Linked DNA regions of Arabidopsis thaliana. The protein of the gene in region 2 interacts with the protein of the main gene of each other region in a pairwise test. Each region holds a gene or a part of one and is shown on either strand. Other genes may lie near its edges.

What was found.
Region 1: the proteins of AT1G52155 (region 2) and AT2G24250 interact in a protein complementation assay, tested with the Arabidopsis thaliana proteins (one large-scale study listed by BioGRID).

The regions. Positions count from the first base shown.
Region 1 is NC_003071.7:10,313,188-10,317,114, reverse strand, and holds the start of AT2G24250 (LOW protein: F-box/kelch-repeat protein (DUF295)), read left to right. Parts: upstream 1-2,134; 5' UTR 2,135-2,256; intron 2,257-2,523; 5' UTR 2,524-2,554; coding exon 2,555-3,679; 3' UTR 3,680-3,927. Other genes in the region: AT2G24255 (LOW protein: F-box/kelch-repeat protein), read left to right, coding at 52-1,062.
Region 2 is NC_003070.9:19,415,285-19,419,211, reverse strand, and holds the start of AT1G52155 (uncharacterized protein), read right to left. Parts: upstream 1,779-3,927; 5' UTR 1,547-1,778; coding exon 1,409-1,546; intron 1,156-1,408; coding exon 1,079-1,155; intron 944-1,078; coding exon 715-943; intron 623-714; coding exon 468-622; intron 384-467; coding exon 338-383; intron 255-337; coding exon 163-254; intron 75-162; coding exon 1-74.

The DNA.
Region 1 (3,927 bases), on a different chromosome or scaffold from region 2:
TTTTTTTAGCAAATTCGTAGATTGCAGCGTTTTCTGTCTCCATTAGCAAACATGGCAGAACCCAAAACGAAGAAGACATCAACATCATCGATAACCCCAGACTGGTCTGAGCTCCCTGAGGAGCTACTGTATCTTGAAGTATCTAGGGGACAACTGTTTCGATGTTGTTCATGCTCGCTCTGTTTGCAGCTTGTGGCGATCCACATTTCCTTTGTCTCCCTTGTTACGCCCAAGTTACTCTCTTCCCTCGTTCAACGAATTCCCTTCAGAAAGCAAAAACATGTGCACCCTCGAGAAGGTCCATCTCCTGATATTGCTGATGATCAGCTTTCCGATGCTCTTCAATGTTTAGTGAACGTGAAGATCCCAGCATCTATTCCAAAAAAGATCATCCCTTTGGGCCATAAGTACAGAATGATCGGTTGGGAATATAATCGCGCGACTTTTCTTCGGCTAGACAAGGAGGGAAGAAGAGGAGAATTTGTTGTGCTTCTCGAAGTCTCTGACACTTTGCTGGTGTTAACAAGTGCTGAAATGAGGTGGAAGCAGCTTGAGAACGTCCCATATACTATATGCGTTGATATAGTCACTTTTAGAGGCAGATTTTATGCACTTTTTCTTTCAGGACAAATCGTCGTTATCGATCCTTATTCGCTGGAGGTGACTCTTCTGTTGTCCTCACCTCAGGACCCGCGAGAATTACGGTCTCTGGTTCCATATGGCAAAGATGAACTTTTCCTGGTTGAGGTAATCATCCCAAATGATGTTGTAATAGACTTTAGTCGGTTAGCTCGTAGAGTGAGGAGGGTAGATGAGAAGGCTGGTAAATGGGTTGAGGTCGGTGATTTGGGAGACTGTGTATTGTTACTTGGAAATCTCTCTTGCTCGGCTAAGGAATTTCCTCGGGGTTTTGGTTTGACTGAGAACGCAGTTTTGTTCGGCGATCAGTCAGGCAATGCATTTTTATACTATAAACAAAGTGCGGTAAAAGATCTCAAGGGAGAATCGTGTGATGATACTCAACCATTTTTTCCGGTTATGGCTCTCCATGAAGACTGCTAGGCAGTAAAATCCTGCTTTAGAGAAATAAAAACATAAATTCCTATCATATTTTTAGGTATGGATTTTGTGATATCTCATGTTACCCATTGTTGGATCACTGGTATTTAATGTTGAAGTTAAATCTCAGTTCTGAGTTCTTATAACTTTTTTTCGTCATCATGATCTTTTTGAACAATTTGACACTGTCCAAAACTGAAACGTTTAGCCACGATATAGAAACTCTTTTCTTGGTCACTGATCTTTTATTGTGTGCTGCCTTGTGCAGTTTAAAAATCTTGCTACTTGAATGGAACTGGCGCTTGATGACGACGATATGGACTAAATGTAGGAAAACTACATTGCTTTTGACCGTGTAGCTCCCGAAGACTTCCTCAATAAAGCAATGGCTGATTACTCTAGCTCGTTGATATTTCCCTGGAGTCTTTGATTTTTCTCGACGTTTAAGTTAGCTTTTCCATCTTTTTAACATATTATACCGATGTCATTTTGAATGAGAATATAGCTTTTAAGTGGAATAGAGAGGGTAGACATTTGTTTTTTCAAAGTGATGAAAAGAAGTGAACTAGATTCTTTAAAGATCAGAGCATATCCACTGTGGTAGCTCACATACTAATACTGTTACGCCAGAACTTTCCCAGAGAGTGTCAATGAGAAAAGAAAATTCCTTCCAAAAGCTAAAGCTAAGTTCTTGAAATCATCTTTAAAGGAAAATGAAACTTACTTCTATAGTTAGCCTAGGGAGTTTCATTGATGGGGTTACCAAGCTCTGTGTTATTTCATTAATGTTGCGTACTAGCGTTTATTAACCGTTCCAAAAACAAGAACTCACATCACTTTACGAGTTCCTAAGATTCAAACCGATCGAAGATACCTCTTGGCAAATCAGTATCAAAAATATTCTTGGGTACAGAGGAGAGAAACAAGAGTACAAAACAATCAACAGAACGAAGAAAAGAAACATAACAACAACATAATGCAAAAACGACGTCATCTCAAGTCTATCCGAAAACCAAAGTCTTAACCGGCTCATTTGATATAAACCGTCTCAATCCCTTCGGTTCTTTGCTTTCCCAATCAATCCAACCCCAAACCAAATTCGCTCTAAATCTTAACTAGTCTCTATCCCCATTTGTCGACGCTACGAAAGGGCTCTGAAGAATCTGCAGGAAGCTCCAACTTTTTCTCCAAGTTACGGTACTACTACGACCTATCTCTTTAATCCCTGCGAATATTCTATAATGAACTGTGAATTTTCTGTTACCAACTTTTAGTTTTTCCTGTGGCAAATTGATCAAACCCAGAATTGATTATGACCTTTGGAGCTTCAGTGAAATCAATTTTTTCCTGTTGGGTTTTATTTTCCAAGAATGAACTGAGAATTTTCTAAAAATGGAAGAGTTGGATCGTTTCAGCAATTTCATCAAACCCCTAAAAAAAAGTTGTAAATTTTCGAAATTGCAGCAGTAAATTTCTGTGTTCTTCAGCAGCAAGCATGGCAATGAAAAAGAAGATATCAACATCATCGATAATGCCAGACTGGTCTCAGCTCCCTGAAGAGCTACTTCACATTATCTCAACGCATCTAGAGGATCACTATTTCGATGCTGTTCATGCCCGCTCTGTTTGCCGCTCATGGCGATCCACATTTCCATTTCCTTCTTCTCTATTACGCCAAAGTTACTCTCTTCCCGCTTTCCCTTTAGAAAGCAAAGACTTGTGCTGCACCCTGGAGAAGGTCCCTTTGTTCCTCTTTAGAGTTCTAACTCCTCCTGATGCTGCTGATGCTTCCTCCGAATATTTTCTGGGAGGATTAGGCCAAGATAAGTCAAATGATCATGTGGAGCTTCCATCTCCTCTTCAGTGCTCAGTGAAAGTCAATGTTCCAGGAACTGAGCCAATTTTGATGAACATGCTTGACTGCCAGATCATCCCTCTGGGCCATAAGTACAGATTGATGATCGGTTGCAATCCTGAAGAATACAGTGCAGCTTTTCTTCCGCTAAACGAACAAGGAGGAGGAGGCGAATTCGTTGCGCTCCTCGACTGCACTGATTTGTTTTTGGTGTTAAGAAGTACTGAAATGAGATGGATTCGGCTTGAGAAACCCTCAACTGCTTCATGTAAGGAGTTATTCACTTTTAGAGGAAGGTTCTATGCAACTTTCTTTAATGGGGACACGTTCGTTATCGATCCTTCTTCGCTGGAAGCGACTCCCCTAACACCTCATATCGACTCCAACTTTCTGGTTCCATCTGGCAATGAGGAGCTTTTCCTGGTTAAGACAGACTTCCTAAGATGTAGAGTAAGTAGGCTAGATGAGGAGGCTGCTGAATGGGTTGAGGTCAGCGATTTGGGAGACCGTGTTTTGTTTCTTGGTGGACACCTGGGGAATTTCTACTGCTCCGCTAAGGAGCTTCCTCATGGTTGTGGTTTGACTGGGGACTCGATTTTGTTCACCGTTGGGTCACGCAATGTAACTTACCCCTATAAATATGGAGTACATACAAATAAAAGAAAGGCTGAAGACAATATCAATTGTTGGAGATCCTCAAGGGAGAATCGTGTGTTGTTCCGCAACAGATATGATCCGGTCCTGTCTTTCCGGGTTGAACGCTAGGCCGCAAATTCTCACTTCAGACTGTTATTCTGTTTTTATTAGATCAAAGGCTATGTTTTCCTTTGATTTTAAGTCTAGATTTTGTGTACTTGAAAACTCGAACTATACATGATCTCTAGCAAATGTGCAATGGTCTATTGTAGTTAGTCTAGAAAGATTTGTTGGTAACCAGCTATGTTCTTATCAAACTTGTTGCAGGCATAGCAGCAATGTCGTCCCCTTATGCCATACCCTCATACAACTACTAT
Region 2 (3,927 bases):
TTGTATTCTCTTTCGGTTTTAGTGTAGGCATTACCGAGAAACGCGGTGCCATATCCTGAGACCTGAAAGTCCAACTGCCAAAGTATATAGTTTGGAGCATTGTTAGTTCTTGACCAAAGCAAGAACAGCGAAATGTACTTGAAAAGTGGGATCATAACTTACCCAATATAGAGAAAAATGCAGAACTGAGCCCATTCTCGAATTAGTAGCCTGAGCCAATAGTTTTGTGAGGAGTTATCCATGTTCATGTAGATCTGCATAATTTAAAGTGAGTGTGAGTATAAACAATGTAGCAGTAAATTCAACATGATGTCAATCAAGAAAGATTTGGTCATACCACAGTTTCTGCCATTGCTACAATCTGCATAGCTCCTTGGAATTTTCTGAAACCATAAACATAAATAAAAACTCTTAGCAGATTATCTACTTCCATCAACCATCAAACCTGAGGGTAATGAAAAACGTACTTGAACATGATGTATTTAGCATATACAGCATCATGCATAGCTTGAACATTCTCATCTTCGATAAAACTCAGCTGTTCTCGTAACACCGCTAGATTTTGCGATATGTGATGGAATATAACATAGAATGAGATCATGTAGTTAAGTATCAGAAGCACCTGGAGGAGCAAAAAAAGATTGGTTCATTCATCATCTTGTAAGTAAGTAAAAGATTAGCTTTAATGAGTAGGTGAAAAAGGTAAAAACTCACTGCAAAATAAGGAACAGAAGCTCTGTATCCAACAAGAGTCAAATAAAAGACACAACCAAGTGAAGCTGTAGTTCTACGTTCGGTCAACGAGAGCCGTTCACAAGTGATGCAATAACCGTGAGAGATAAGTAAAAAAGACACAAATGAAGCTGTCTGAAACAGAACACCAGTCACATATACACCAAAAGACATCCATAGAGAGCAAATGTGATGGTGAAAACATGAATGCCTGCCACCAAATAACAGATTAATCAACTATAGAGACTTCGAAAACGATCTTTCGATAAAAAGGTTACTGAGAAATAATTTCTCAATATGACAAGGTAACATTAATGGAAACAATAACTTCACAAAGAGGACTTACCAAAAGAGGAAAGATAGTGTGAGCTGTAAGGCTTTGATTAATGGAACTGAAGCAAGAGTCCATTGTAAACTATTTGTCTGCTCTAAACAAAAACACAGAACCAAAATCAAATTGTGTTTCTTCCTTAATGAAAAACATAAAAGAGACAAATCAAAAACAGAATCGTCTGAATTCATGATTAAAACAATAAATCCCAAGTACCATTCTGCAAAAAAAATTGATTAAATTTTGAGTAATATTTGGAATTTGAGAAGAAGTTTCATAAACCCAAGAGTGAAAAATCCAAAATTTATCGAAATAAGATAGAGAAAAAATAGGAGATTTATTGACCTGAAAGTGGCGATTTTTGAAAGTGTTAACCGTCCAAGAACAAGCGGAGAAAGACCAGATCGTTAAAAAGGTTAAGTAGAGAATTGGGAGATGACGATATGAATCATCGACGCCATTGATGCCCTGAGATTCTTCCATTACAAAAGAGAAAGCTTTAATCTCAGAGAAGAACGAAGACAAAATTCTGTTTTTTTGATACTTACTTTTTTTTTGGAAGCTTCACATTTTTGTTGGGGTTTCTAATTCTATTTATGAATCTCTGTACTATTGACACTTGTCTTTTGCACTAATTAATCTTGGTTTTTTGGATAAACCAATTAATTGAGACTTAACTGCCCTTAGATCAATTCCACTAATATCTCCAACTAATTGCTTAGTTTCATTTAATGCAACTAAAATTTGTATACTCATAAAATAATCCGAATATTTGTATCATTTTTCTGTTTTCTATATAATAAAAATTGCTATTAAATTTTTAATAAATTATCCTGAATAAACTTTAAATCATAAACTAATTAATTTTAGTTTGTTTTGTATAATTAATAATAAATAAATGTGGTGTTTATTGTTTTGAACTTTTGAGTCGTCGGGAGAATAGGGGAGCATAAAAAGAAGGTGGAGAAGAGAGAGCAGACATGCGAACAAAATGGTCATTCAACTAACCCACTCTCTCCTTTTTGTCGTTGAGTTTTGATCACCAATACCCTTTTTTTTAATTTATGTAATTTTGTTGGTCGTTGTGACTTTTTCTTGATTTTGATATTTTATATGTTATGTATTATCTATGTAGTTCGTTGCTATAATTTCGTGGTGCAGTTTACCACTTAAATCATATGCTTATTTTGGTTGTTATAGAAAAAAAGGAACGTGGAAGACACTACAAATCAAATTAAAGTCAAAACATCAATTTCGTGGCATATGTAAAATAAAAAAATTGTAGGTTGATGATATATATTCGGACAAGTATCTGCAAGAAGATTAAAATATATAACGGGCAGAGAGAAAGATTCACGTAGGGAAAGATGCAAGCATGTCACTATTTCTTAAGAATGTTTATATGTAATCAACATTATCCATTTAGGTTTACTACAATCTACATTTAACAAATGTCTTTTTTTCCCATAACAATTAACAATGTTAATTTGATCAGAATAACATTTGATGTTAAATCTCAGCTATGCTAAACCTCTAAGTCTAAACACCTAACATCAGATCATCAAGTCGACGAGCTTTGAGATCATTAGAGAAAAGGATCTTGAAGCAAAGCAACAAGAACACCTCCATTTTGACTACAATAATGAATTTATTCCTAGTTTCATTTGGGTCAAGGGTCCGCTTGATTCTGACTTGCCGAACAGTGATATTCGTTCCATAACTATGGAAAAACATTTCTTTTATAAGATTTAGCATCTGACGAAAGATCTGATCCATCTTCCAAAGTATACAGGCCATAATGTAGATACACCAGAAGCTAAATCTTGAAAAAGCAGAGAGATTGCTTCACTAATTTGGCAGTTGCATGAACCGAAGCAAGCAATCAACTATAACCAGTAGAAAAATCTCCTGCAAATATAGCAATCTTTTTTTGTTATGAGTAAAAAAACAAACGAAATTAATCATTCTATTTTTCCAAATAGAACAATCAGTGGACAGATTGAATATCAGTGACCTATATAGCCTATATGAAACAAGTCCACCAATTGCAACAGCCGTGATACATAATGGACTGGGCTGAATTTAGGCCCGATATGAAGATAGCGGTCCAACGTTTAATTAAAACAGTCAATTCTACACTTTTTTGTGTGTACGTACTCTATAATGAAAATATATTGGTAATTGAAAAAGTTAAGACTTGAATTGAAACCACTTAAAGAAGAATTGAATTCATCATGATGAACAATTCAAATCAGTAGTATAATACAATTCTTTTACAGGCATTATTGGGAAAATGAAGGAATAGTACTAGTTAAATTAAAATATTTGAAAGAGAGTTGACAAAATAAAAGAAAGAAATTTGAGAATAGAGAAAAAGAAAGAAGGAAAGAAAGAAAGTGAAGCTTCAGCTTTAAGACGGAGGAGACGCATGCAAAGAAGGTAATGATGTTGTCTCTGTCTCCTACGCAGACCTCTCTCCCACGCCTTTTGTTATTTTTTATACGCCTCTGACCTTCCCCATTCCTTCTTACCTTTATTACCCTCCTATTCACTCTTTTACCACTCGTTTACTACTAGTTAAAACTTAGAAGTAGTAATATTTATTGGTATAAACCTCATTAATTTCATATTGTGGGCATAAATGTAGGAGTATAAGATTAGCATCCGTTAGAGATTAGTCACAAACATTACAACATTAAACGTTAACATTATCTATGTTGTTTTCCATGATTAGATCGAAGAAATTGCATGACCATATCAATGTGCTGTTAGTTCAGTGATAAATCTTTTAGGTGGAAGTGCTGAGTTCGAAACATATTGGGATGAATCTCTTTTCCATAAAAGATGAATTTAACCGAGTGTTT